3 linked regions of the Alligator mississippiensis genome follow. The protein of the gene in region 3 purifies or fractionates together with the protein of the main gene of each other region. This does not show direct contact. Links are inferred from orthologs where the notes say so. Each region holds a gene or a part of one and is shown on either strand. Other genes may lie near its edges.

Region 1 (10,091 bases), on a different chromosome or scaffold from region 3:
ACTTATACGGATTATTATAAATAACTGCCTGTATAATTCCTAGATTGTATTTGCTCATTTACTAAGTCTCAAGCACTGCATGTCGGTAATAACATTGTTTAAGATTAAATATTTAAGTATTTGGTAGAAAAAAAGAACTCTACCTAGTATAGCATCAAGCGCTAGAGGACACTGCCTCAGCACTTCTTTATAGCTTGTAACAGACGACCGTTCCTGACCTGCCTTCTTGTACAAATTTGCCAACATCATGTTAATCTGTAGAGAGAGAGGGAAAAAAAAGAAAAAAAAAAGTATTGGCTGTGATAATCCAGTCTACAATTATGTAGGGCAGAGGTTCATCACTGAGAGAAGGCCCTAGATTCATTACAGCCCCATCTTTCCAGCTCTAAGTAGAATACAGAAGTTATGAACCCAGCTTTACAATTCCTTGTATCCTGTAAAATAAGTGTTTCTTCTGATTCAGAAGGCAAAAACTGAGGTAATTCTTTTATAGTTGCATAAGGCCTCTGAAAACCTCAGTTTTGCATATATTAAATCCTGATATAAGCAACTATCTACATATGTGGAAGTGATACCTGACAAACAGCTGCATCTTACGTTGGTTTCCTTTCACCAGCTTTCTCTACATAGTGAGGAAAGGCTGCCAGAACTGTAACCTTTGGGAGGTGGAGGTTTTTTATTTAGGTTCTGAATAACTTAACTGCTCAGGAAATAGCTTAAATTCAGGTCACTGCAGCTAGCTTTTGTGGCACAGTTATTTTGGTTTGCTGACATACAAGGGGAAGAAACTGCTTGGCCTCTCAATGTTTTCATTTTTGTGCAGTAAGTCTGGCTTATGGCAAGACACCTTGTAGTTAGTTACACTGGCCAAAATGTAATGCTAACAGTCAAACCTCAGTTAAAGTGCACAAGGTGTTAATGGTTCAAGAGATTAACTAGATGACAGAGCCAGCAAGCAAAAGACTCAACATTTTTGGCTCTGCATGCTGCTGTGATCTAAATATTTAGCACTACATAAACTACCATTAAACCAGGGGAGAAGAATCTTGAGGGAACATAGTTGCTGGGTTTTTCCCTTCTATTCATCAGGCCAGGAATTTTCTTCAGCCTCAAGAAGCACACGCTGCTGAGGTCACAACAGACAGCAGCACTTCGTTTCCTACACAAGCTGTCCTCCTAGCAGCATTCAGGAATCTGGTGGGAGGATCACCATACTCAGAGCTAGGGTATTTACCAGCACAGCAATTAGTCTTTGTCTGGAGGAAAGTAAAAACCAGGTATGAAAGGTTTTGGATTGTTAACAGACTACCAGGCAAAAGCAGAATGTTTGTAAGTCTGGTAGAATCCTCAGTCCTAAATGAGTTAGACACATACCACTAGAAGTTAAAGGGTCTATTCTTCCTCACACAGGAGAGATTTTGTAATTCCCACTAGTAAGTTACTCACTAATTTTCACAGGAATTAACTGGGGAAGACACACAAGCGTTTAGTTCCTTTTAGTTAGGTGATTTTTTTTCAAATAAAATCCATATTGCGATCTCCTGCTTTAAAGAAATGAGCTAAATGAACTTAGCTAGTATAAACTACTGAAGGAGCATTTCCAAATCTCTCATGTGGACGTTGCAACCACAAGTGCCAAGGGTTGATGTCTTTATATATACAAAGCTAGATTTGCAATTCTGGCCAAATTAATATTAAGCTCCAAATATACCCAAACTACCCTCTCAGCAGAGAGAGGTAGTTAGCTGCCTTAGTCTGATGGTACACAGAAACCATGACAGGGCGGCACTTACAGCATAACTCGTTCATGGGCATAAGCTTTTGTTGGCTACGGCCCACATCTACTATGTTAGATGCATGTGAGGAAGTAGGCTGTAGTTTACAAAAGATCATGCCTTTCTGGTATCCGTGCCCTCTTTAAGGTGCCACCCTGCCCTGCCCTCTGTCTTCTCAGACCAGAAACACATCCAGGGATTTACCTTTGGGGTTCTTTGTCTTGAAGGAATTCCATCCAGGATAGCAATGGCATCTTTATCTTGCTTCAACATTGTGTAACACTCAGCCATTTTATATTTCACTTCAATTTCAGATGGCAGACACTAAAATAAAACAGATTGCTAAAATATAACCTCTCAAATGCTGTTTTAACTACATGAAAAGAAATGGCTGAATCATAAGTTTTCTATCAGATTTTTCATTAAAGATAAATAAAGTGCAAGGAAGATGGTAAGCTGTACTTGCATAACTCAGGCTATTTTGTAGCTTCTAAATGAAAACTGTAAATTTAAGAAGCAAAATTTTGGCCCCAGGTAACCATCTTATGTTTTTTCCATGAGTTCAGCGCCATTAGTAGTTAAACAGTCTAAAAATTCAGGCTACTTTAGTATAGCAATGTTATAATCTAAAGTCACAACATGAACACACCAACAGCCCATGTCACAACATGAACACACCAACAGCCTAAGTACCTGACTTTGTGGAGTTGATGCAGCATTCCCAGTAGAGGGTCTAACTTTTGAAGTTTTACTTAATGCCTTCTTCTGCTGCAAGGCCATTGTATACTTACTTACAGCATTCCTATACTCCTTGTCATGAAAGAGGGAGTCTGCATGATACACAAGCAGCTGGTACTTTTGAGAAGGGGAGAATAACTCTCTGGAAGAAAAAAAAAAAGTGATGCTTAACTGAACTGTCTGATGACAGGATACGGACAAATTTGCTAGAACCTAAGTTCTCAGTGTTAGGAAGGAGGCCCTTAGCTATGACCCAGAAGTGGAAGACGTATGAGTGCAACATTTGCACCTTTCATTCACAAGTGCTTTAACCCAAGGCGAGAACAGCCTTAGCAACCCTAAGCATGTCTTTAATGACTCCCGAGCGGTGAATACTGGGTGCGTTTACATGTTCTTTAATGCATGTCGTTACGGCGCATTAAATTTAGTACCTGCAATAAAATAATAGGTATTAATGCATTGTAATCGGTGCCAGTGCACATTAGCGCAGATGAACATTTTTTTGTGACGTTAATGTACATTAGACTATGTCTACTGTACATTAGCATGGTTTTTGCCAGCCGCCCTAATGCGCAGTAGAATTAGTCTAATGCGCGTTAAACATCTCATGTAGACGCACCCTCTGTGAATCATCCTCTTGAAGAGCAAGCGGACTTGGATTTTAGAATCAGTACAAATCCGGAGCGATGCTCAAACTTGTGCCTCTACAGCACCAGTTCCCAAACCGCGGTACACGTACCACCAGCGGTACGCGTTCACAGATTTATTATAATGACTTTACGACAAAAACGTGCTGGTGCCACGTAACTCTGAACTGAAACTTTTTTGGTGGCACTGAAGTTTGTATCGTTTTAAACTGACGGCGCGCAAACCGCTCCTCTAGAGACAACGCTGCCGCTGCTATCCAGTCACGCGGTACTGAACCCGTCACTATCTCGGTTAAAACATCTTCAAAAAACTCTGTTCTTGATCCGAAGACATCAAGAGATAAAATGCGTGATTTCCTTTGCCAGGTTAGTCATGCCCGTTCAAAATCGGTCCCTCCTTCCCACCTCGAATCGCCCGGCTTCAACTCGCTTCTTGTTACGCCGTTCTCTGTTAGGTTAAAGGGAGTTTTTTTGGACCCAAGATTTTCTACCACTGAAGGGCTTCGCTTACTAGCCCAGGCCGCGCTCAACCTCTGTTTTGAGAAGGGCAACAGAAGTCTCTCAGGATGAGCGGTTTCCCCCAGCCCTTCAATCATTTTGGGGGCTCCCTGCCAGACCCTCGCTCCGAGTGCAACCCCCACAGCGCACGGGACGATCCAGCCCCGGGGGAGGAGCACGGACAGGTGGGCGCGGCCAACTGTCAACCGCCAACGGCCAACCGTCAACCGCCAACGGGCGCCCCGCCCCGCCCCGCCCCGCGACTCACGGGTTGTTGCCGCTCATGGTGAGCAGCAGCCCGCTGAGGATGCGCACGTTGGAGTGCAGCCCGGCAGCCGCCATCTCCCGCACGTGCTCCACCACGCTCATGTCGGCGCTGAGGCGGCTCCGGGCGGCTGAGGCGTCGCGAGCCTCCAAAATGGCGCCGCCGAGGGGGCCTCGCCCTCAGGAGGATATAGGAGTCCGGGGATGGCGCCTGTGCCCGCGCCTCGGATTCACGCCCTGCTGATGCCTGCCACTGAGACCTCCCTCCCACCCCCTTTGCCGCGCGGCCGGGCACAAATGGGGAGTTTTGCAAGCAGGCACTAAGGAGGACGCCTCAGGGGTAATGCCGATCGCGCATGCGCCGAGGGAGGGGGAGTGCGCAGACGCCAGCTGGTGGCCGGCGTGCGCGTGCGCAGTGGGACTCGCTCGCGTGTGCGGCGCTCGCCAGCAGTTTTGGCAGCTGTGCTCGCACTGCCCTTGTGAATTCAGGCCGGCTGCTCAGTCAGTAACAGAGGACAGGAACGAGCAACGGCTGTGGCTGGGGGGAAGTGGAACAGGACTCAGAGGGGTGTTTCCCAACCAGTGTGCCATCAGCACTGAACAGATGCAGAGTTTTGTCATGGCAATGAGCTACAACAGGTATGAGGAAGGGGAATGCCTTAACAAGTGTGCCAGGGCAGTTGTTATTAATGCAAGTGAGCCTGGGGCTGGAAAAGGGTGGGAAACACTGCTGTAGATCTCTGCTTTTAACCCAGCAAGACAGTTAGATGTGGCCGGTGCCGCAGAGGGGATCTTGTCTTTCTTTCCTTCGCCCAGGGTGGGCCGATCCTCAGTCTCCTCCGTCCGAACGAAGAGGTTCAGGATCAGCGCTGCTGCGTTGGGTTGTGGCTGGCGAGACCGCAGGGGCAGCTGGGTGGAGCGTGGCGCCGGTAACTGCTGAACGAGCATTGGTGCAGAGGAGCACGGCCCTGCTACAAAGAGCTGGGATAAACGAGTACAGGTTTGTAAACTGCAGCCCTACTATTAGTTCTACTCGGCTTTCTACAGGAGCACTTCCCTTTTCATTTTGCAAGGGCTTAGTATGAAAGCCACAGCACCAAGCACTGGTTACTTAAGCATAAGACAGAGCCTCTGGCAGCACTATACTACTGGGTGCATTGAGACTTCAATCACCCAGGATCTGATTTTTTAGAGGTGCAGAATACCCTCAGCCACCCTTCCCGTTCCAGCCTTTCTACCAGCCTTCTCCGCCAGTAGCTGCTTAATCTTTCATCCTCCTAAAACATCCTTCTTCCACACTGGGTGCTCTACAGAAGAGTGCCCATTGCAAGAGGCAGCCATTGGACTCCTGCCAACAGTAGAACTGAATGAATGCTTTTAGTGCATGAGTGTAAAAATCTTGACTTTTCAAAATTAATTCTTCAGGCTTTTAATCTGATATGTAAGCAGGCAGTATATTTCAAATAGATAGAAAGTGTAAGAGGTGAAGCTAAGCCTGACACCTCAGATTTTGTTTAAATCCAAAATTTGAGCAACTCAGTTTACTGCTGATGGTTTCATATTCCAGCTGTAGACATCCCATCCAAGTGTTCTTCTTTAATAGCTTATCAGTCCAAAGTATTGTTCGCTATTTTCTGAGTGTTCCAGCTCTAAGCCATCCACTCCCCTTTCTGCTCCACCCCTGTTTAGTGCGCAACACTTGCCTGAGAAGAAGAATGCTATGAGGTGATCAACACTCGATGTCTTCTGCAAATCTCCCTTAATTAGAACAACAAGTTACATCTATATGTCAGCGGTTGCCCTAATGCAACTATATAGCCAATGGCAGCTTACAGCCCAGAATGACGCCGGTCTTCACGCAGGTGGCATCATCACAGTGCTCACTGCAATATGATCTTTATTGAAAAACATCTCACAGAAGAGAAAGTGGCCTGAATAAAGTCTTCAGGGTCAGGATCCCTTGTGTTTAATCCAGCAGAGACAGAGAGAGAGAGAGACTTCCCAGTGCAAGGGTGGCACTCTGGAGTCCCAAAGTAGGACGGACCAGCGACTGAAGTAGGGGCCTGGATCTCAGGGGGAAGTCCTGGCCGCATTCAGTGGCGTCGAGAATTTATCCCAGGATTCTACTCTCTGTGCCTGTGTAACCCTGGGTAGCCATTTACCCTTGCATCTCCTTCCTTTCCCATCTGTGTTATTTAGACAGTAACCTTGTCAGGGCAAGAAACATTTCTTACCACAGGTTTCTACAGCTCCTATAAAACAAACCCTCAAATTTACTTGAGGCTTGCTGGCACAAACATAACAAATCAAGCTTTCATTTTTGTATAGCTATCCACGTTCATAAGAGATAAAACAGGTATCATGTGAAATAAGCTAAGTTTATTAGAAAAAGGAGTAAAATTCACCATGCTTTACAATACAGCCTAAGTGGCAATGACTCTAGCCAGCAGAGTAACTGCAGGACACATGTAAGACACATTATATATGAGGCAACTGATAATAAAAGCAGCATTGATCTGAAACAGCATGTTAGAAATTGTTTATTAAGCACCAGCTTAATATTGTTCACTTACAGGATTCAAGGGTCCTTTTGCTCCACCTCCCCGCATTGACTGACAGCTTTCCCTCATAAGCACTTATTCTTCCTTGGTACAAAACATGTATGAAGCAAAAGCAAAATATTTTTTACACCTTGCTGTAGACTGCTTAACCTTGTTGCCACTCCTCTTTGCTTCTTTACTGTCCTGGACCTGACAGGCTCTTATTCATGAACTGTCTCTTCACAAAGCAGATCCACCACTAAGAGAGAAATCCACAGTGAGATGATATACCAGAGGAGTTTCCAAGTAAGCAGTCTACGTAAACAAAGCAGGACTTGTGTGTTCTGCCTGACACCCACTATGTAAAAACCCAACTCTGCACAGACCAGGGATCCAGTTTTCAACAGTGGCTTTAACGAGTTTTAGGCACTCAAGGCAGGCAATACAGGATAATTCAGATTGTAACACTGGGACACTTGCATTAAAATACTCTTTAAGGTGGTTGTTTCAATGTTAGCTTCCAAGTATCTTGCTTATTTGGAAAAAAAGGAGAGACATACACACCTCAAAGTGTACTGCATGCAGTTCCAGTCTAGATCTGGAAGCTAAGCAGTATTTGGGGGGGGTGGACGTGGTCTTTAAAACTCTGAAATCTTTTCAGTTATTTCTTTCCCAGAAGTGGCCATTTAAGAAAGCCCCATACCAGTTGCTTTAAAAACATGACTCCTTGCCTTTGATGCACAAGTCTCTGGACCAGACTCTAGACATCAGGCAGTCAACACTCATTCTGAAACATAACTAGCTCAATAATATTGAAGTTACTGTTCAAAACTGGCCTAAGCATCTGAGCAAATATGCAAAATGCATCTACCCTAGGCTGTAACCTCTTCTCAGAAACGACACACCAAGGCAGGCAGAAATGAAAGGAAGGAGTTAACTCAGGGATGAGCGAAGTCTGGCCCATTCAGACCCATGGTGGACTCCCTTTTCCCAGCAGCCTCTGACTGCCTCACTGCAGCCAGTTTCCATGGAGACCCCAGAAGCAGTGGGTCCAGGGTTTCCATGGAGACCGCCAAGCAACACTGGCAGGGCAGTGGCTGGGCAGGGAGCTGTTCCAGGGCCAGGAGCTTGTGGCGATGCCTTGGCTCCAGCCCCCACTGTCAGAGCGGGGCATGCAGGTAGTGAATCATGGCTCTGCCCCAGTTTGGACCACGCTGTCACCACTGCAAAATCCCACCCCCAGCCCTGGAGCAGCTCTCTGCCAGCACTGCTTGGGCCGTCTGCATGGAAACCCTGGCCCCACACTGGCACAGCCCTGCCGCTCCCAAGATCTCCATGGAAACCGGCCCCAGCAACACTGGGAAATCTACTGGCCAGATCCACCGTATGGCCCATCCCTGCGTTAACCGATACATCCGTTAGCAAAGTGCTTTTCCCCACACAGGAAGAACTGCATCGCTCACTATGGAAGAGGCCAAGTACCCTCAGTGCCAGACGCGTTCTCTTCTATGCAGTTGAGTGTGACCAGCTGGGACCTAGCACTTTGCAGGACTGACCAACAAACAGACTGTTGCCTCTGTGTTCTTGGACAGGATGCTTCTGCCTGTGCAGCCTAGCCTGGCTTTTGCTACCATCTCACTTACAGACTCATCTAAATCACAGGGCGCTACCCTCCTATCCATCTCCCTGCTGCCTCTGACTTCCGTTCTCCAAACACATGCCTTAGGGAGCAAATCCAGAATTATTTTCTTTTCCCCTGAAGCTGACATTCCCCAAGTGTCCACTAATCAGGAAAAAAAATGGAGGCCAAAAAACTGGGATTAAAAAAAAGAAAATGTATTGACCAGTTTGTGAGAACAGCATCTTACCTTGCTAGGTTTGTCACTTTGGGGATCAAACACCTTTTCACAAAGCCTAAGTCCAGTTTCTTGTCTCAGCTGCTGTAAGTAGGCCCTCATCACCTCTGGAAGAGAGCATGGACCAATACAGATTGGAGTGTGCAGTGTTAGATACTGTCTAAGAATAGTTCTGGCAGCCAACAGCAAAGCCATCTGATGTGCTGGCTAAAGAGTGGATTAGCAATGTCTGCACCCCTAGCATCACCTTCTGTTTTCAACACTTGCTGAGCCAGGGTTGCTTAGTCCTGAGCACAGCAGGGTAAATTACCACAGTTTAGTTTCCCGTGTTGTGGGATTGGAGCAGAGCTGCTCACTTGACAGGATTAGCAGGGATACAGCATAGTAACTCTGTCCCAAACTCAGTCAGACTCCAGGTACACAGAGAAAGCAGGACCACTGATTCACAAGGCAGTTTGACAGCCACAGAAATAAAGCAGGCTGTTGGATCCATGCTGTAGCCTGAAGTTAAGTGACAAGGCTGCTTTTGTTCTTACCGTCCTCTTGCTTGTTGGAAGGTTTGGCATAGATGGCATTGAGTGGAAAGCCAGGCTCCCCAGGTATCGGGAAGTTAGTGATTCCCAGCGTGTACATTTCCTTTTCTCCTTGGCCTTTGGAATTACACTGGAAAAGCCAGGAAAGAGACCAGTTCAAACATACCGAGAGAAGCTGTACCACTTTAGATATAAAGTATGTAGCTTAACTAGGATATTGATACGGGACTACCCGTGGGAGAAAATACTGAAGGTGTCTTATGTATTTGTCCCTGATTAAATGAGAAGTTTCTTTACACAGTTTGGGGGCCCTGTGCACTTACTACAAAACAAAAGGTTTTCTGAACTACCAGGGGCTCTGGCAGTCGGGCCTGAAGCCAGCTGCACGTATAGACTGTACCGATATAAACCCTTCTTGGTTAGTAGTACAAAGTACTTTCTAATAGATGCACCAGTATAACCCCCAGTGTGAACTGTTATACTGATATAAAAGGAGCCTTATACCAGTATAGCTTATTCCTTTATCCAGATAATACCAGCAGAAACATTCTAAGGCATGTTTATAACTACGTATACACGAAGGGCTTGTAATGGTTTATGTATATTGAGCTAGTCTGTACCACAGAAGTTTTACTGCCTTGACAAGCCATAAAATCTAGTAACTTGCCCGAACACCAATGTGTAGCCTCTCTGGCTTACTTTGTGGTGTGTACAGACATATCCAAAGGCTAAGTGCAGCATGCAGAAGAAAGCAAGAGTAGAATATCCCCAGTGAGTCTTGAAGAGGAGCCCAATACTTTCAGGCTTGATGTGGGTGAGGAACAGGCAGAGAAAACCATGGTAGAAACTGATGACTAACAGGGTTATTCTGGACAGATGGGTTGGGGGGGAGGGGGAGGAGCAGCTGAAGAAAGGAAGTCAGAAGAGTTGATGAGACCAGAACTGATGATCGCATCAGAACTTCACGCTGCCTTTTGGCCCAACAGGGAAGGGATTTAAAATGAAGAGGAAGCTATGAGCATTTCCCCCCTTAAAGCAGCGCAGCGCAGTGCGGGCAGGCCCTCCTGCAGACACACGGCCTATGTCAGAATACTAAAGATTCAAGAATTACCACACCTGCAGGATGGGGTGGGGAGCACAGCACTTGGTCCCCACAGCTCCTACCATTCATTAAGGCTTTGCCCAGCCAATTACCATTTTTATAGAGAAGATAATCCTAACTAACCCATAGCCGAGAAGG
Region 2 (10,060 bases), on a different chromosome or scaffold from region 3:
AAATGACAGCTCATGCAATATGGACAACATTATGTTACTATGACAAAGTCATACGTTCAGCTAGTTCTTACTGTAAACAAAAATAAATTACACATCTGTATTTCTTTGGCAGTTAAGTACATACTGAATCCTACAGAATGATTTTTGCTTAGTGTGCAATATTCTTTAGATGATGCGGTAATCGAGGATTTACTGGAACAGTGGAAGTTGGAAGTCCAAATAGCCTAATTATGTATTGTGATATTTGATTAAATAAAATCACATACAATTACATTGTTCCCTATGAGCTCGCTGGAACAATGACTAGACTCATTGGAAAAACAGATAACAATAACTGCCCCTGGTAGTTAACAGAGAATGGTAACTGCCTGACATCTAGTGCTGGCAGCTGGAGATGCAGTTAGGCTTTCATTTGTTGCACTGATATTTAGAAAGATCAGAGACTGTATTTAAAAAAACTCAGTAGGCAACAAACCCTTTCTGTCCCATCAAGGACAAGAGAATAGCCATCTCCAAATCTCTGACCAAAAGCATATTATGGGCTAGGTTCTTTGCTGGTGTCAGCTGAGGGAGCTCAGAGTACAGTAGAGTTATATGAATTTAGATCAGCTGCACATTTTAAATCTGAAATAGGGATCAGATGGAATAGCTGCCTGCTCTAGCAGAGGACAGTACACCATGACCTAGATATGAGGTCCCTTTTAAATCTTTGCTGCTATGTAATCTGGCTCTGGGTGCAATGTACTTCCTGTCCAGAAAACCATGACATCCTAAAAATCCTACCTTTCTCCTTGTAAGGCAGAATGCTTGAGGAATATGATGGGGTACACTACACTCATTATTCAGTGCCTCTTGGGAAGTACCCTGCAGCTCTGTTGCACTTGGCCAAACAGTACACCCTGTGGGGAAGTCCTGTCAGGCAGCCATAATTAAAAAAAAAGTTAAAAACTACTTTTGGCTCCTAAATGTGATGCTGAGTACCCCTCCTAACTTGCAATCAGCTTTCTGTTTTTAAAGTGTTCACCTATGCTCACAACTAGAAGAAGCTGACAGAGGCCCTGATCCTGCTCTGGGTCCCATGTGGGTAGATATCTCTGCCTGCCTGGAGCCACACTGTACTTAGTGGGGCTCCAGCTTGGCGACTGGGCCCTCCCACAAGCAGCTTGTTCACATAACTGCAGAAGTCAAAAGTGTCTTCCTGTGACCCACTCCATGGAGTCTAGCTCACAGCATCTAACAGTCTTTGTCAGCTGTCTGTAAGTTCATTCTAAAGTAGTAAACCACCTGGCAGCATTAAGGCAACCACAAAAACAACCCCCCATCCTAGAAAACAGAGGAAGATTTTGTCCCCTTCTCTGCAGTTGACTCTATCCCTTTAAAAAAGATCAGAAGTTTCAGAGAAACAGACTGGAACACTTTTGAGCCTTAGCAAGTGCCCAGAGCTGAGTTTCTGTACCAGGAGCTTAAACAGAAGCTCTGATAGCTCTTGTGGGAGGGGAAACAAAACAGATGTTTGATCAGAAAGCAGTGGAGACTTAAGAGCTGTCCATTTATGTTCGGATTTTGTTTGGCTGTTCTTTATCTGGAGTTGAACTCTTAAGCTGTATGGAGCTGAAGAATTTACTAGTGCAAATGTTCTTAGTTGCAAGACATTTATGACACAATCTGGAAACTTAAAAAAGATTTTTATAGGGTGTCTTTAAAAAGATTTTTCTGTAAAGCTACTCATTCTCTAGCCCTCCTCTTGGGGGAGGGAATATGAGATGTTCCCTTTTAATGGAGGCTGCTTGGCATGGCAGCTTATTGTGGCTAGAAGGGCCAATTGCTTGATGAAAAAAAACTTGTACTCTTAAAGATGACTAGGTTCTTTAAAGGGATGACATAAGACTAGTTCAATATGGCTGTGAATTAGTGATGTAGTGACACTAGGGTCATTTTCAGTGATCTGGACATTACAGGGAAACTGAGACTGCAAATACGAATTTAGAATAGAAATGAGACTTTGAACTGCAAAAGAGAAATCATTATTATACATATTTATTTCTAATTCTTCCATCCACTTGTGGACTGTGGCCAGGGGCTGCTCAGTTAGGGGTTACCTGTAAACACCTTCTTCTGAAGCCCCCTCTACATGTTACAGGTATTGTGCAATTACTTTGATACCAGCTACACCTGCAAAGTAGTTATAATACACAATAAAAAGCTCCAACCAACTATAAAGTTAGACCTTGAAAATGTGTACAACTTTACAGCTGGTTGCTATCTAGCTTTAATTTGCATGTGTAAGCAGGGTCTCCCCTGCAGCTGGGAATCCTCTCAGCTGACAGACCTCCCAGCCACAGGGTTGCACCTTGCCTACTGTGAAACCCCCAGGCATGGGGGATTGTGGCTGCCTTGGTCCCCTGGGCCTGGGGGATTGCGGCAGCTGCAGTCTGCTGGGCCCAGGGGTGCATGGGGTTCCCTCACATTGTGGGTAGCCAGTTCACAATATAGTAACCAACTGGTCACTCTTATTTGTTTCATAACTGGGGAGATCAACTTCCAAAGAAATGGAAGGGAAGTGGCTTGCAGGCCAAAAGGTTGGAGGTAGAGGAGCTTCGCCCATCCTGTTTTCAGGGGCAGAATGTGTATCTGAGAATCCCAACTAGATAGTAGGCTTGAGACTTCTGCATTATGCCTGATTTACTTTCTCCCAGTAAACCCAGATGGCAGAGCATTCTTTCTGCATTGAGAAGTGCCCAGGTTCTGCCGCAGCAGCTCCTGTGCAATACCTCCCTGGATACCACGGTACAGACATGCCCAAGCTCCCTTACTTCTTGGAGATCCCTATCTCTCTTCTCTTTGAACAGCTGCCATTGCTCCTACCTCTACATCCCAGTAGTGGCAGCTGAGTTCCACCCTGAGCAAAACCTGCCACTATGGTGACAACACCAAGACAGAGAGCCCCGCTGCCTTGGTGAAAGCTGAGTGATAGCTTCCCTCTTCCAAGGCTGGTTCCCTGCTCTAATAATAACAGCAAAGGCACCCTGCCCCCTCATCCCAGGGGTGGATCCAGAGGGGGTGCAGTAGGGTGACTACATCCCTCTTTTGGACTGGATTGTGCTGCTGGAGCCTCTGGGGACTTCTTTTTAAGTGGACGAGAATCCTCCGTTCTCCTCCAGAGTCAGAGGCACATCTCCTCTCTTCCCCTTCCTCTGTTCCCCACCTGTCCTGCTCCTATTTCCACTTCCTGGGGAGGGGGTGGGGGGGGGTGAAATCTTCAGAGCTGATCCTACTCATTCCAACTGGGCTGCAGGGGAGAGGGGGAGGACAGGGGGCAGCCACAGTGCCTACTCCTGGGGGGAATGGGCAGAGTGGAGGAACCTAGCCCCTTCCTGTTGCTGCACTGTACCCAGCACAGAAGCATCCCCAGCTCTGGAACAAATGGGAAAACTGCAGTGACTGGGAAGGGGAGGGGAGGGCACCTGCCTTAGAGCATGCAGAGAAAAATCAGGGATGCTTACATGTTTGGGAACTTAAAAAAAGTCCTCAGAAGCTCTTGTAGGGTGGTGTGTCTGTACCAGTGGCTTCACATCCCACCTGCCTCCAAGCTGCCTCCCCCACTGTCAGTGACACGGGCAGCGTGGATGGCTCTGCCCCACACCCCTATACCTAACCACAGGGCCATTAGCATGCCTGGGCATTGCCTTACCCTGGGGCAGGGGCCTCCTGCCACAGCATCACTGTCCTCCATCTCCACCTCCATGGCGAAAGCCAGGTGGCAGCAGCAGGTCCCTTCCCTCTGGGCCACTGATACACTGCCAGGAGCTCTGCAGCAGGTCTAGTGTTGCCAGGTCTTAAGTATGAAATTATTGTATTTACTGAAAAACTACCATACACTGAAAAAAATTGCAAATGAATATACAAATAAGCCTTCTTATTTACTTTATATTGCTCATTGTAAGTCACCATGAGAACTGGGCCATCCAACTGGAAGCATTTCTTTATTTTGAGGTAAGCTGTCATAAGAAAATGCTGACAGCAAACCCAAAGGCCTGTTAAGACTCCTTGCAAGTGACTTGGGTTTTGAATATGCTGTCAATGAGCTGCCGCAAAAATAGGTACATTCTGAACACATTTTCTATTATTGATTGTCAGGGATCCTGGCTTTCTCTGAAAAAAAATCCCCAATTTCCAGTTTAAAAAAGTAACCCCAAATCCACGTTTCCATGATTAATATGGAATGCCTCTAATATATTGCAACAAGGTTCTTTGGGTAAAGCTGCTATTTCTTATTAGACCAACTCAAATAGTTGGAAAAAATTCTTGCTTCCTCAGCCTTACAAAGGTCTTGCTTGACCAATCTCATTTCCTTTTACGACCAGGTGACCTATCACCTGGACAAGGGGGAAGAGATTGGTGTCGTATATCCTGACTTTAAAAAAGCCTTTGATCTGGTATCCCAAGATCACCTCTTGGCAAAACTGGCTAGCTGTGGACTCAACCTCACCATGATCCACTGGCTGGGGAATTGGCTCTGCAGTAGGACCCAGAGGGTGGTGGTTGACAGAAGCCAATTGTCACAGTGCCCTGTGACCAGTGGGGTCCCTCAAGGCTCTGTCCTAGGGCCTCTACTGTTTAACATCTTTATCAGTGATGTAGACACTGGTGTCAGAAGCAGACTGGCCAAGTTCGCCAATGACACCAAACTCTGGGGTAAAGCATCCACACCTGAGGACAGGAGGGTGATCCAGGCAGATCTTGACAGGCTCATGAAATGGGCAGATGAGAACCTGATGGTGTTCAACACCCAAAAATGCAAGGTTCTCCACCTTGGGAGGAAAAACCTGCAGCATGCTTATAGGCTCGGCAGTGCTACGCTGGTTAGCACTACAGATGAAAGGGACTTGGCGGTCATGATTGACCACAAGATGAACATGAGCCTTAATGTGACGCTGCAGCTAGTAAAGCAAGCAAAATGCTGGCTTGCATCCATAGATGCTTCTCAAGCAAATCCCAGGACGTCATTCTCCTCTTGTACTCAGCCTTGATGAGGCCGCAGCTGGAGTACTGTGTCCAGTTTTGGGCTCCACAATTCAAAAAGGATGTGGAGAAGCTTGAGAGAGTCCAGAGAAGAACCACGCGCATGATCAGAGGTCAGGAAAACAGATCTTACGACGACAGGCTAAGAGCCATAGGACTCTTCAGCCTGGAAGAGTGCAGGCTCAGGGGCGATCTGATGGCCACCTATAAGTTTATCAGGGGTGCTCATCAGGATCTGGGGGAATGTCTGTTCACCAGAGTGCCCCAAGGGATGATAAGGTCGAACGGTCACAAACTCCGCTGGACCGTTTCAGGCTGGACATAAGGAAGAACTTTACTGCTTGAGCCCCCAAGGTTTGGAATAGACTGTCGTCGGGGGTGGTTCAACCACCTACTCTGAAAGCCTTCAAGACACATTTGGATGCTTATCTTGCTGGGATCCTATGATCCCTGCTGACTTCCTGCCCCTGGGTCAGGGGGCTAGCCTCGATGATCCTCCAGGGTCCCTTCCAGCTCAGCCCGAATGTCCGTGAAATCTATTAAATCTATGAAATACCCGAAAGCTTGCAAAGAATTTTTTTTCCAACTGCCTGAGTTGGTCTAATAAAAGATATTAGATTTACCCAAAGAGTCTTGTCTGCCTATGTCCTTAGACCAACACGGCTACAACCTACACAACTTATATAGCGAGAGAGAGAGTGGTGTTTCATTTTAGTCACGGAAAAATGTGGATGTGGGGTGTTTGTTTTTTTAAATCCGAAATGGGTTGGGTTTTTTTTAAGCAGAGAAAACCAGGGTCCCTGTTAATCATACATGGTGCGAAGGCTGAAGTGATGGCACCAACACCATCATTATGGTACATCCGTCTTGTCCCCTCCTCCCGGCCGTACCCCGCTGCCGCGACAACAGCCCGGAGGTCTCCCGCCCCCCGCCGCGGTGACGCAGCCTGCGAGCCGAGGAGGGTGGTGGGAATTCCAAGATGGCCGCGCCCGCGTGAGGCGCCGCTGGGGCTTGCGCTGCGCTCTGCGGAAGGAGCCCCGGTCCCGCTGCCGCCGCGCGCCCGCCCTCCCCCCGCCCCTCCTTTTTCCTGTGGCAGGCAGGTTCGTGCGCGCCCGAGCGCGTATGGGTAGCGGTCCCGGACACCTCACCGGGAGCTCAGGAAAGGGTCCCTCCAAAGCGGGGTTGGGCCAGGGCGGAGGCTTTTCTGTGGCCTCACTGTACAGTGGTTGGGAGGACAGAGCTGTGGGAAGGGTGGGACCGGTAAGGAGCTTGGCAGACAGTGCTGGAATCGCTGCTATCCTGGTGGTTTTCTTTGTGAAAACCTGGGACGCTTGGCTCAGGCTTCAGGAGAAATAGGAATAAGTGAGCAAGTCAGCTGGCAAGCAGAACTGTACACTACAGAACCTTGAAGAGCCTTGAAATGTGTTTCCCCGTATTTCTTTTTCTTGAAAATCCATGTTTACATGCAAAGGTTTTTTGTTGTGAACTGCTAAATATTACCTAGGTGATTTGCATGACATCGGAGGCGTGACTGGCACTGATGACTGTTTTGTCTTGGATTCAGAAATAATGTTGATATTTGGAACCCATGTCGAACAAGCATGAAGAGAGGGCAACGATGATTGCAGCCGGGGATTTGCAGGAGTTTGTTCCTTTTGGCCGTGACTACTGCAGGCACCACCCTAATGCCCTGAACCTTCAGCTGCGGGAGCTGCAGCCAGCTTCTGAGCTATGGTCCTCTGATGGAGCTGCTGGCCTTGTGGGATCTTTTCAGGAGGTGACAATCCACGAAAAACAGAAGGTAGAGTTGGACTTACTGATTAAACAATTATTCTGATGATTAAACCTAATGAGCTTGAAGAAAAAAACTTTTCATTAACTATTTGAACTATACGTACTAAAATACATAATATATGTACTAATATATGCTTAAACTCCAAATATTGAGGAACTCCCTCCAAAGAGCAAATAGGATAGCTGTATGTATTTGTTTAGGAAACGCATGTAAAAATATAGATAGTACATTTTACTGCACTGTTTCTCATTGCAGTGATGTGCTCTGGTTCAGCACAGTTGTTACATTTCTGTCTAGCCATGTGTAGTCACATGGGTTTCATTGATCTGGCTTCTACAAACAAGCTGCTGCAGTAACTACATCCACCCTATGAAGAAAAGGACAAAAGGGCAAGTTTACATACAAAAGCTATACCACATTAACTATTAGTATAAGAACACACTTCTGATGGGGATGCAGTTCTTCAGCTACAAGGCACAGATATAAACATGTCTACATTAGATTTTATACTGAGTTAATTAAAACTGTGAGGGAGAAGGGAAGTAAAAAATGGCAAAAATCAGTTTACATTTGTGCCAGGTAAATTAGCGAATGATGCAATTATTTCAGTGAGATGTCCAGTGGAAAAGTACAGAGAAGACGGGAAGAATTTTCACCTGGTGTTTGTTAACGTGGAAGAAGCACGTGACCATGTATCTATTAAGAGAAGTGGTGTGATATATGAGGGAACAACTAGTACTAGAGCTGTGTGAGGGTTGTGCAAAATGAGTGTAGAGGCTCAAAACCACAAATTAGAAGCGCACACTGGAAGGCGGGATTTCCCAGTCGAGGTTGGGGTTTGTCAAGGGTCAGCACTATGCCTGTTTTTTGTTTGCATTAGTTCTTGATATGTTCACCAGGAGCATTCAGAAGGATGACGTTGCATAATGTTTGTAGACTACGTGGTCGGTTTTGCAAAAGGCAGAGAATGATTTGAGCAGGGGGAGGGACATCCTGAAAAGGCATAGTCTATGGATCAGCAGAGAAAAATATGGAATACATGTCATGCACTTATTCAGGGAGTGCACCCCTGGGATTGGATGACCCACACACCTGCATATACGTTCAAGTACCCGAGCGCCATTGTGGAAAAAATAGAGACAGATGAGAAAATTAAGAACAGAATAAATAAAGGATAAAGTGGGGTTGGTTACCATGACTTACGATGTAAATTTTTTCTTCCAGATTAATTGGCATTTTTCTAAGAGTGGCAAGGCCAGTGCTATTGTATAGATCAGTGCTGGCCAACAAAGAAACAATAGTCGTCCATGATATGGGTGATGGAGATGAGGATGCTGATGTAGATTTATGTAGCCAGTAGGAAAGACTAAGAAAGGGAGAGAAATGATGACAGGCAAAGGTGACATCAAAGTGGGGACACACTTGGAGTAAGAACAGTGAGACTGATTTAATGGTTTTGATAGAAAGTGATGTTCCTAACCTACCATTAGATTAGTATGAAAATTGTGTGTAGGACAGGCCCCAAATAGTTCCCCCCACAGCAGCAATCTTACTTGTAATGATGCCTACTCCATTCCCTCCCTCCTACTTTGATGTATTCCATAACTGATTGTGAAACCCTAATACACAGATAAAATGTTGTACAATCAGGTGGGCAAAAGCTTTATGCCATCACAGGTGGCTGCGAAGTGTAAGATTCTATCTAAAGGAACAAAAAAATACTGCTTCTGACATCGTCCGTTTCTGCAAATTATGGATTAATCTTTTTTGTTTTTGTTTTTGTTAGTTTTTTGCATGTAAAAGAAGCAAAGCTTTTTTCTATTTTTGTCTGTCAGAATCTAGCTGGACATGTGTAATGTTTACAGCTATTCATAATCCATGATTTGAGATGTGTATGCATGAGTTTGTATGCAGCTGGGAAGGAATGTACCTCTGGTAAACCAAGCCCTTGGGTATCAGATAGAAGAGTGTTCCAGCACTCTAACTATAATATAACTGCGTTGTTCTCTTGGTTGGGAAAATATTGTGAGAGGGTAGTAAGGAAATAAGTCTGAGCATTTCATAATTGGTGCATATATCAGCAATCTCTGCAAACAAGCAGAAGAGCAAACAGGCATGGAGACCCCCCTCCTGCCCCCCCTTCTAAAAGAGGTTTCTAGGGCTGGTAGAGACGAGCTGGAAAGGAAAGCTTGGACTATATCCATTTACTTGTGGAGTTATTCTGCCTCTTTCGACTCCAGGCTGGCTCCAAGTTTAGATTTTTTGTAAGCACAAGGTTTTATAAAAGCTAAGGCTATTAGAAATATTTCTATACTTTTTTATTTTTAAACAATGAAAATAGTAATTTTGACATTTCAGTGATTGTTTGGGATGCAACCCAATCACTGCAGAAGTGAGAACTTGAATTTGAAACTAACCTTTAAGAAGTACAAAGATTAAATGGCATGGATTATAAAAAAATAAAAAATAAAATAAAATAGTTCAAGATAATTCATAATAATTCATTATAACTGGGGTTTGTGCATATGCCTTGGGTGTTTCAGAAGGCAGGGTAGATGATGAACCTTAAAAACTGACTTAAATAAGATATATAGGGCATAAGCTTTTGTGAACTTGAGTTTACAGCATCTGATGAAGTGAGAGGACACGCACAGAGCAGTGTATAAAGTGGAGTGAGTGATCTGAATACAAAAGGTGGTGGGGGGAGGGGGAGGAAGAATGGCAGGGCTGGGCAAGGCAAACAAGCATCCATAGAAATGAAGGGATCATGCAAGCTAATCTTGTTTTATATATATTTAGTTTGTCTGTGAAGTGCATATCTACCTTTTCTTCTGCCTGACTTCATACTAATGCAACTAACTACCTTTGGTATTGTAACCATCCCTCCCCTCCTGCTTTCCAAAGATTGCAAACAGACCAGGTTAAAACACCTGAAAAACTATTGGGTTGCCTGAAACACAGTAGCAACAATCCCTGAATTTCTTGCTGTAACAGAATGAGGACAGTGGACACAGTGGCTAATCTGTGTTTTGGTACACCACATAGCTGACCTCTCCTTTGATTGTAAGCAGAGTTTTTCAGTGTAACAGATATTATGTTTTCCCACTTCTAGAAAAGAGAAGTAGAAACCAAAATCTACTCTGCTCTGCAATAATAGCCAAAGACTTTATTTGACTGATTAATAAAACTAAAGCTAGACCCACCTTTAAGGTTGCACTAGACTTGTGGCTAAATCATCCTTCA
Region 3 (10,082 bases):
ACAATAGATAAACAACTCCACATGTGTTCCCCATAAGCTGCTGGCAAAAATGGCTAGCATGATCCTTGCAGCCAGGGAAGCCATGAGGTGATTTCGCTTCTGTGTATGGCACCGGTGAGACAGACACTGGACTAAAGCAGCATCCAGCCTGGGATAGGGCCAGCATTTGTAAAAAGATGCTGAAAAACTGGAAAAGGTACAAAAAAACGATGAAAGTTATTTGAGAGCTGGAGAAAATGCCTGTCAAGAGAGCCTTAAAAACTCAGTCTTTATATTGACAAAGCCAGCAGATTGCCATGTGACTCCGCAGGGCTGCTTCAGTACATTTCTTGAGGCGTTGGATAATGGATACTAAAGGGCTCCTTACTCTCATAGAGAAAAACATAACAGGACATGATGACTGAGAGTGGAACCTAAGCAATGAGGGTGAGCAACCATTGGAATAAACCACCAAAAGACATGGTAGATTCTCCATCCTTAGTTGCCTTCAAATCCAAGACTGCCAGCTCCTGGGAAGATATGCTTTATCCCAACATGTTCCTGGATTCTTTCCTTAGATTCAGTGACAAAAGAAGGGGCAGCTGGGATCACCCTGTATAACCTGGGCTGTCCCTGAATGAATTCTTAATTAATATGGGTGAAACCGAGTGAAATATTATTACTTCCTGTAATACACAGGGAATCAGGTTAGATCAGGGATCAGCAATGGTTTTTGGCAGAGTGCCAAAAATAGTTTCAACCTCAACTTGTAAGATGTTGGTGTGCCAGGAGTGGACGTCAGGGAACTGCAAGGGGCTCAATCTTTGTTGTGGTAGTACAGCCCTGGCTACTTCCCTACCATCCACCCCAAGATGTGCATGCCAAGCAAAATGCCTTCACAAGCCACACTGGCACATGTGCTGGGGGCTGCCTACCCCTGGGTTAGATAATCTAATGGTGCTTTCTGGCTTTAAACAGAAATGCAGAGCTTTCGCTATCTCTTCTACCAGCCACTGGGGATCCTGGATGATCAGACAAGGCCTTTTCCAAATAAGCTGATATGAAAATAAGCCTCTTTAACTTGCAACTGAAGTGGGCACATGTTGCCTTAGTGACAGTCCCTAGTCAGTGTGGGGCTTACCTCCTGGAACTCGTTCAGAAAAGAGCGCTCGTATTCACCCCTGCATCTCCGCTCCATCCTCTCCTCAATCATCTTGTGCAGGATAGTTGTCACAGCATCAGAACTCACCCTTTCCAACAGGTTCAGCCTGTGGCTGCAGATATAGAGAGGGGGCTTCGTTTACAGCACACAGAGAAAAGCACAAAGCAAATGCCTAATAATGGAGCCTGGGAAGAAGGGAAGATGATCCCCACCTAGAAGAGGGTAAAATTGTGTGTCTACTTCAGGGCAACCGTCATGGTGTACATTTCTAGCTGGATCACCTGGCTTCTAGTCTGTGAAGAGAATTGGTTTTTCTCAGTCAGCAGGATGGCTATTTGGGGAGGATTGTCATCCAATAGGAAGCAAAAATAAAAATGAGGCAACTGGACCCAAATTTATATCATCAATAATTAATCAGCTAGGACTAATTAAAGAGCATAAGCATTTTGCAAGATCTAGGCAGGAAAGAAACTCCTTTCCAAAAACTTACAAACACACTGCTTTTTCAAAGATTTTTCAAGCAGTGCAGAGGAAGTAAGGAGTCATAGCTTTAAACATTTCATTTATTTCTAACATATGATATTGTAAAGAGCTAAATGTTTAACAGTTCCAGGTACATTTTAATTTCGGCTATTTGTGTTACGTGTTCATAGCACATGCTACTATTGGGCCCCAGATTGCAGCTATGCAAGAAGGAAAAAAAACCTAGGAGTCAAACATCACCTGCAAAGCAAGTGCATAAACAGGTTTACTCTTTAGGAGTAATCTTCAGGACATACAAAATCATAAGCCATTGCTTCCAGTCCATGCTGATGGATTGGAGAACTGGAGAGATAGCTCTCACCCCTCAAGTAAAGAGAGGAGGGCTAGATTTTCAGCAAAGGGACTATCTGGAGCTTGTATAAAGTTGATATAAAAAATAAAAAGCCAGAGGTTTTAAACAGAATAGGAATCCCTGAACCTTTCCAGAGTTCAGGATCCACTTTTGCTTGCTGTTTTATATCCAGGGATCCTGGTTTTCCCCAATAAAAAAACCTGCAAATTGTCTGATAAAAAACCCGCAAAATTTCTTATTAAAACTCCATGATTAAAATGAAAGGGCACTAATAGAGAGAGAGAGAGAGAGAGCGAGAGAGAGGTATCAGTTGAACACAATACTTTCTTGATAATATTTATCATTTAAAGGAATTTGGAAGCCTACCTGTGCCTCAATCATTATAATTAAATAAGTTCTAAACACCTATAAATTTTGGTATTTGATTTTGGGTTATCATGGAAAATCAGAGCTCCCTCTGCCCCCTTAGCTCACAGAACACAGGTCCAGGTCCCTCACTCCCAAGCCACAGCCCCCCCAGCCCTGCTGGTGCTCCTCAATGCTCACCCACAGCCCGCTGGACCTTGCCAGTGCCCCTCACTCCTCCGCACAGCTCCCCCAGCCCTGCTGGTGTCCCTCACCCCCCACCCACAGCCCCCTGCCCCCCTAGCCATACCAGAGTGGGCCCCCAGCTGGCAGGGTTACAGGGCCAGGGGTCCAGGTCCGCAGCGCTCTGCCCCTTGCAGCAGCTCCACAGCCCCAGCTGCCACCCACAGGAGGTGGCAGCTGCTGCAGCGGAGTGAAGCGGAGCACACCCCCTCCCCTGCCAGCTGTGGGCTTGGGTGGGGCCAGCTACCCATCGCTGCGCTCACTCGTGCCCCCTGATCTGTGCATGGCGCAGGGATGGGCTGCCTGCTGCGGGCTTGGGCTCCCCACCCTACTGCCCCCCCCCAGGCTCTCCGCAGCCCAGCAGGTGTGACCCAGTGTGGCAAAAAAGAGCGGGGCTACACACGGAAGCTCACTGCTGCTGCAAGCTCTGGGCTGCCCTGGCAAGGCACCCCCTGCCTGCATGGCAGCAACGAGGGCAGTGGTGTAGGGTTGTACCCCTCTTTGCTGCCATGTGGGCAGGGGATGCCTTGCCAGGGCAGTGTGGAGCTCTCAGCAGCAACGAACTTCCCCACGAGGCCCTGCTCTGCCCTGCCCTGCCCTGCTGGATCACACCCACCAGGCTGTGGAGGTCCCAGGGGAGGGCAGCAGGGTGGGGAACCCAAGCCCACAGCAGGCAGCCCGCCCCTGCCCAAATCCCCTACCCTGAGCACAGATCTGGGGGGTATGGGAGCCTCCTGTCTTGCAAGGAGCGCGCACAGTGGTGGGGAGCTGGCCCCACCCCCTGAACGAAGTGCCCACAGGCCCTGTCCCGCTTCTCGCCAGGGCCCTGAAGCTGCGCGTTCTGACCCCAGGCCACACACCCCACACACCCTCCTGGCTGGGCAACAGCTTCAGCCCCAGCCTCACCCCCACCCAACTCCCCCCTTCCCTATGGGGGCTTCAATCCCCCTCCGCTCTTCCCTGCCCCTGCTGCTGCCAGACCTACCTGCAGAGCAGCTCTCCAGGCTGCCTGGTGGCCATGTGTGTATACATACACATGACACCCCCTGCCTGAGCACCCTCCTGCTGCTCCCCCCAGCCCCTTGCAGGCTGGAACTCTACCAGCCTGCAGAGAGCTCTTTGCAAAAGTGCAAAATCTGTGGGTTTCTCCATTAAAATGAAAAATCCATGTTTTCCTTGGGTAAAGGGGGAAACTGCATTTTTCTGTTTTTCCATGGGAAACGGAAAACCCGGATCCCTGGTTATATTCACACGAGCTCTCCAGTTGCTTGTAATATCCTCTAGCTAACACACTGCAGATAAGAACTGCTTTCTAATGGAAAAACAAGCAAATATTTTCTAAACTCCTGTTCAGGCCTTATGTAGTGCCTCTTACATATCATCCTTAAGGTCCCAACAGAAGCATTAACGAGGCCACACTACACACGCAGGGTATGTGTGCACTATTTAGTACCTTGAAATTTGGCCAACTTCTTCAAGATCTTTAGTAGGCAAACGTGGACCCTTCTGGATCCCAGTGTATGCGCAAGAGGTCACAAGGACCTTCAATGCATTTGGCTACAAGTATGGAGAAGTGGGGGGGTGCCCAGACCTTCTATTCCCCCTTTAGCCCATTGAGACAGTATCCAAAGGCCAGACAGTATGGACATTTGGTGCCTCGACAGCTGTAGTTATAGGTGCATCCAAGAATCAAATCCAGGTCTCTCATGTGGCAGACAAGGATTCAACCACTGAACCACAACAGCAGGTTCAAGATCTTTAGCATCTGGGGAAAAGAAAATATTTCGCCTAGAATCATTGTCCCCAAAGGGAATACAAGCCTAAAGGGAGGTGATAATCTCACAGCAGTTACCAGGACCACTCTCCTGTTTGTCAAAGATCTGCTGTAGCTCAGCCACAGGTTATGGGCTAGATGCAGAAATCACTGGGCAAGATTTTCTGGACAATGCCTTGCAAGAAGCAGACTAGGTTAGGATGGACCTTTCTGACTTTCATACCCATGACAGGCCTGTAGACAGTCTACTTTCTAAATGGTATATTGATTCTGTCCAACAAATCCCTTTCCTCCCTCCCTCCAGGATACATACAGGATCTCACTGAGCTGCTGAAATTGCTCCATGGCTGTGGGACACCAGCACTGGTCTTTCTTACTGTTGCAGCCTGCACACTGCTGGCTGTCTCCTCCTCCCTCTTCTGTATCACTCTCTTGATCATTTTCACTCATACTGCTCTCACACTCATTCATTCCATCTTCTCCTTTCTTCCACTGCTGCATATATATCCTGAAGGTGCGGCTGTAGAACTGCTGGATCATCTCCTGGAAGGTCTTTGTAGTGGAGAAGAAGAGGATGGCTTTAAACATGGTGTACACTTTCTCTCGTAGCATCTGGGAACCCGTTCCAAGGAGCAAGCCTGCTTTGGTCCATTTTTCCAGAAGATCTAGACTGTTTAGATAAGGGTCTAGGCGGCACTTGAGCAGACAAAAAGCATCCAGGAGGAGTAAGGAGCACTGGGGCTCCTCAGCTGTGTTTTCATACTGGCCAATGCAGTTCCAGAATTCAGGAGCTATATTTGTCTGAAGATCTGTCTGTAAAACTTGAATGAACCATTCCTCTATGACACAGTGCAAGTCATAGCTCCGCAGCACTTCCAAAGCGGCCTGCAAGTCGCTGTCCTTCAGCGGTTCCACTGGTCCAGACCTGGGTGCTGCCTAGAGAGAGACACCAAGGTAAACGAAAGCAGGGACTCCTGAAGGGTGACTGAGGCTGGAGAGACAACCGGACTCAGGGGGCAGTCTACAGATGGAGCCACTCACCAGCCGACCCTTTGCTCTTGTCCACAGTAGGGCATAGCAGGGACTGAAAGCTACCAACTAACTGGCATCCGGCATCCCTCCTGGGCAGAGGGGCGGAGGTCTCAGCCCCACTCCTAATGGGTCGCTGTTCACATCACAAGGGCGACTGCTGTTGTGGTATTAATGCCGACTGCATCCCCAGCTGACATGGGAGCCGTGACCCGAACGGGCCCCGCTCCATCCCCTCTGCGGGTCACGGGCCACTGCCAGGCTCTCTCCAGCCTGAGCCAGCACACGAGGATGTCCTGCGCCAGGGCCGTCAGGGCGAGGCCTTCCACGGCATCGCTGCACTTCGAGGGCGATTACAGAGCACAAGGAGTGGGGCACCCTCCTTACGTACCCGTGAGCAGGAGGCCGGAACGGCGGCCACGTCGGAGACGACCGCGCGCGCACCTGCTACGCGCCCCCCTCGCGCCCCCGCGGAAATCCCGTGACAAATGTCAACGCTGGGAGCTGTGACTTGCCGCAAGGGGCCTTTTCCTAAGACATCCCCAGGCCCCAAGAGACTGCGCCCCCCCGCCCCCTCGAGGCCTGCGGGCCCGCTCGCCCCTCTCTGGGAGCCGGGGCATCGCCCCACAGCCGCCCGGCGGGGCTCAAAACAAAACCCCCGAGACCAGGCGCGGGGAAGGAGCGGGGCTGCGCTCCGCCGCCCCCCGGCCCGCACTCACCAGCCCCAGCGCGGCGGGCGGCACGAGGCCGGCGCCCAGCGCGTGCCAGCCCGCCGAGAGCCCCGCGCCGGGGGCCGCCGCCGCCATGGGCCGAGCGGAGCGGGGCGGGACGGGGCGGGGCGGCGCGGGCGCAGGAGGCCGTTGGTGGCGCGGGGCCGGGGCCGGGGCCGGGGCGGCGATGGCGCAGCAGGGGGCGGCGCTGCAGAGCTACAACAACGAGCTGGTCAAGTGTGAGGGCCGGGTGCGGGGCTGGGGCTGGGGCCGGGGCGCGGCGCGGCGGTGGCGGGGGCCGCGGGCGCTGAGCGCCGTGCCCCCCGTGTGGCGCAGGCATCGAGGAGCTGTGCGCGCGGCGGGACGAGCTGGGCCGGCAGATCGCGCGCGAGGAGGAGGAGAAGGGCAAGCTGCAGAGCGACATCCGGCTGCTGACCGAGCGCCTGGCCCGCCTCAACGAGGGGCTGGCCCGCAAGATGGCCACGCGCAACGAGTTCGAGCGCACCATCGCCGAGACCGAGGCGGCCTACGGCAAGGTAGCGCCTCGGCCCCGCGGGGCGCGGGAAACCGCCCTGAGCCGGCTGCAAACACGCCTCCTCCTGCAGAAGCGGCACCTGGGGACTTTCCCTTTGCAGCCCGCCCCGCACGCCGGGGTCCCGGCCTGGGGAGAGGGCGCCGGGTCGGGACGGGCCACTGATGTTTACAAATGGGGCCTGGTACAAAAAAGGTTGAGAAGCACCGTGATATTCTGGGGGGGCTGCAGCATGTAGTTTTGGGGCCCCCCCATCCGTGGGAAAATCACAGCTGCGGTAGAAACTGGCTGAAATGAAATGGGCCGGGCTGCGAGGTGGGTGCGGGGGGCTGGGGCGGGAGTGGGGCTGGGCGGGGAAGGGGCTCCCTGCCTGCATGGAGCCCTTTCAGGGTGGCGCAGGCGGCAAGCGGGCACGGCCCCTTGGCCGCAGGGTAGGACAGGCCGGCCTGGAGAGCCGCTGCTCTAGAGTAGTGCGGGGCCAACCTTTCTTATGCCGCAGATTAGCCCCGTGCCCTCCCTGGGTGTCACTGATCCCCTTTCCCTGCCCTATCTGCAGCTCTGCCTTCTGCTCCCTGCCCTTTGCTCCCAGTGCCCAGTCTCTTCCTCTGCTTTCAGCCAGCTCTCTGCTTTGTGATCCCAGTCTGATCTGCTCCCTGCTCCATCTACTGCTGTGCTGCCTGACCCCTCCGCCGGCACAGGCCGCACAAAGGATGCCCATGCAACTTGCAGTACTCGTGCCGTAGGTTGGCCACCCCCGCTGTAGATAGCCATAATTCGGCACACTGTCAAGAAGAGCTGGCAGCAGCAAGTGTAGCTGTGCATCCCTTCTTTAGCCTTGTGCACCAAATGGCTCAGTCAGCTAAAGGGTACTTGGGCATCTTGTAATGGACAGGGCTTAGAGGAGGATCTTGTGAGCTCACCCTAGGGAGTGCTGTCTCACAACTGTGAATGTAGAGAGTCAATTCTTGAAGACCCACAGTTACCAGGAATTAATGGTTCTGTCTAGCCCAGGGTACAAGCATGGATCATGGTCAATAATAAGGGTTGTGAAGGAAATCAAAATAGTGGAGGAAGAAGAAACTTGAACTTGTCTTCACTGCTGTGGGATTTTGTGCTGGGGTCTGTCTTTCTCTCTATGTTTGCCTCGCCCCTCTCCCAGTGGCCTTCCAGGCACGACTCTTAGTAGCTTACCCATTCTTAATCTCTTATCTCCTCTGAGCCTTCCCCTCTTTAGATGAGGACTACTGATCATAGTGACCTTCACTGTGCTCAAGGCAGCATTATGGCTTCAGAGAGCATTTGCTGCTGATTGTCCTAGATCAGTGTTTCTCACTCTGTTGGTTGTGACCCAAAAGTTGGTCACAAGACTATATAAAAGGGTTGTGAACAAACTTTAAAAATTGATCAACAAACTTAAAAAATGGATTCTCTTTTAGAGGAGAAAAACGTGGAAAACCGAGGCTCTTCCCTTGCAGACTGGCAGAGTTCCAGCTTCCAAGGGGCTACTTAGGGGCCCCCATGCCCCACGTACTGGGGGCCTGGGGGTGGGGGGCAGTGGGTTGGGCCTGGCCATTGATGTTTACAAATGGGTCCTTGTCCAAAAAAGGTAGAGAACCACTGTCCTAGATCACAAGGGACAAAGAGCTTTGGGAGGAGTAAGCTCTGTGTTGTCCCCAGGGGAACCCTTAAGGCTGTTGCGTTGTCATGGCAGAAGCGCTGCCTTGCATTGTTTCTCCAGTGTTGCCATGTTTGAGTTATGGGAAGACTGGAAGGGTGTGAAAAGCTCATGGCACTTGCAGTTGTCACGGCACAATCATGTTGTGGCTTGTGTGTGAACTGTGCTTTAGTCCCTTAGTACTTAGTGTATGAGTGTAACGAATGGAGCTTGGAAAAACTATGTAGCAGGGCAAGGAGACATTTCCCTTTCCAGATATGTGGGTTGTGGGGCAAAGAGGATAGTGTCTGCAGAAAGTGGGTCAAGCAGGTACTGCTACTCTGGCAGGAAGGAGGGATAAGTAAACTGCAAAATCCCATGGGGGTCCAAGACCCATGCAGCTGCCAGATACAAGTTTATTTATGTAGAAATTAAAAAACAGGTCTCACTGGCAAGCCATGAAAGAGCATTCGTTATTGGCCATTAGGCCTGTGTGAAGTGGCCAGCATTCGCTTCGGATTTGGCCAATTCGGGGGACAGTGTTTCGATTTGGTGATTTGAATCACTGTCCCGAATTGATTTGCCCGAAATCGATTCAGAGATTTGGCTCCTGTCAAATCTCTGAATGGCCCAGGCCCATCCCCTGTCCGCTCTCCCAGCCCACCCCAGCTCCCGGCATTTTGAAAAAAAAGAAGCCCCGACTCAGCAGGTGCTGCCAGTTGGGGAAGCAATCCCCACTGCTCCCCACTGCCCCGTGGGGGGCTCTGCACGAAACCTCTGCCCCCCTTTGCCCCCCAGCTTCCCTGTGGCTGCTCTACTCGCTGTGGTTCTGGCCCTTTAAGAAGAAAAAAAAAAATGAGAAAAACCCCAGACTCACCTTCCTGCTGGCGGGGCAATCCCTGCTGCCCTATGCCACGTGGGGGGGCTCTTCCAAGGAGATTTGGAGAGCTTTGAATTGATTCAGACCTTTAATGTTAATTGGTCCCCTGATTCAATTCAGATTCAGTGATTGGGCCACTGAATCGGGCCAAATCTCCTCTGAATCAAATCACCACCCGAAGCTTTGCACAGCCCTATTGGCCACGGTGGGAACTGGCTGAATGTGTACTAGCCCAGTGCTGTGCCTAACAGATCTAATGCAAGCCTTAGCCATATGTTCCTGTGAAAGCTGAGTTGAGGTAGAGATGGTATTGCCCTTGTGTACAGCATCAGTGAGACAACTACTGAGTATTGCCTCCTCCGTACCAAGAAAAAAATGTCCACGTACAGGAAAGTCATCAGAAGAGAGTTACAAGAATGATCCAAGCTCTGGAAATCCTAGCTTGCAAAAGACTAAGGAACTTATAATAAAGAGAAAAGTGAGAGAGAACTTGAGACAAAATATCTGGCTAGGGAAAAGATTTAGCAGAGTGCCCTTCACTGGAGCAGACAAGGCGGAACATAATCCAAAAGCCTGGTACACTTTTTTTAGTAGTGAGAGTACTTAGCAGCTGACCATGGGATGTGACAGATTCTGTCACTTGGCATCCTTAAATCAAGGATTTGTGCATCTTTCTAAAAAACCTCCTGTTCATCCCCTTGTTGCTGGTTTAATGCAGGAGTCACAGGGGGAGGTTCTCCGGTAGGAAGCCACAATGGTCCCTCCCAGCCTTAACATCTGTGAATATTAATAAATGGCCATTGCAATCATTCCATTTGACTTCCTCCAAAACACAGGCAAAATAACCCTTCCCTAACAATTCCAGCATCAAACCACTAGCTTGCTCTTCCTAGAAGTTTTAAAGACTGCAGTGGTAGAAAATTCCTCTTGACTATAAAG

The links.
Region 1: the proteins of ANAPC2 (region 3) and ANAPC7 fractionate together in Homo sapiens (co-fractionation; 6 studies listed by BioGRID and IntAct, with this or other methods). This does not show direct contact. The link is inferred for Alligator mississippiensis from reciprocal best matches to the Homo sapiens genes ANAPC2 and ANAPC7.
Region 2: the proteins of ANAPC2 (region 3) and ANAPC1 fractionate together in Homo sapiens (co-fractionation; 8 studies listed by BioGRID and IntAct, with this or other methods). This does not show direct contact. The link is inferred for Alligator mississippiensis from reciprocal best matches to the Homo sapiens genes ANAPC2 and ANAPC1.

The regions. Positions count from the first base shown.
Region 1 is NC_081833.1:2,204,326-2,214,416, reverse strand, and holds the start of ANAPC7 (anaphase-promoting complex subunit 7), read right to left. Parts: upstream 4,099-10,091; 5' UTR 4,028-4,098; coding exon 3,927-4,027; intron 3,517-3,926; exon of another isoform or gene 3,147-3,516; coding exon of another isoform or gene 3,133-3,146; intron 2,656-3,132; coding exon 2,469-2,655; intron 2,100-2,468; coding exon 1,980-2,099; intron 256-1,979; coding exon 144-255; intron 1-143. Other genes in the region: ARPC3 (actin-related protein 2/3 complex subunit 3), read right to left, coding at 6,659-6,721, 8,331-8,425, 8,855-8,981. UniProt on the Homo sapiens protein: Component of the anaphase promoting complex/cyclosome (APC/C), a cell cycle-regulated E3 ubiquitin ligase that controls progression through mitosis and the G1 phase of the cell cycle.
Region 2 is NC_081824.1:237,108,881-237,118,940, forward strand, and holds the start of ANAPC1 (anaphase-promoting complex subunit 1), read left to right. Parts: upstream 1-6,001; 5' UTR 6,002-6,122; intron 6,123-6,586; 5' UTR 6,587-6,610; coding exon 6,611-6,823; intron 6,824-10,060. UniProt on the Homo sapiens protein: Component of the anaphase promoting complex/cyclosome (APC/C), a cell cycle-regulated E3 ubiquitin ligase that controls progression through mitosis and the G1 phase of the cell cycle.
Region 3 is NC_081835.1:47,567,382-47,577,463, forward strand, and holds the start of ANAPC2 (anaphase-promoting complex subunit 2), read right to left. Parts: upstream 6,190-10,082; 5' UTR 6,174-6,189; coding exon 6,087-6,173; intron 5,275-6,086; coding exon 4,652-5,274; intron 1,254-4,651; coding exon 1,121-1,253; intron 1-1,120. Other genes in the region: microtubule nucleation factor SSNA1, read left to right, coding at 6,265-6,316, 6,414-6,613. UniProt on the Homo sapiens protein: Together with the RING-H2 protein ANAPC11, constitutes the catalytic component of the anaphase promoting complex/cyclosome (APC/C), a cell cycle-regulated E3 ubiquitin ligase that controls progression through mitosis and the G1 phase of the cell cycle.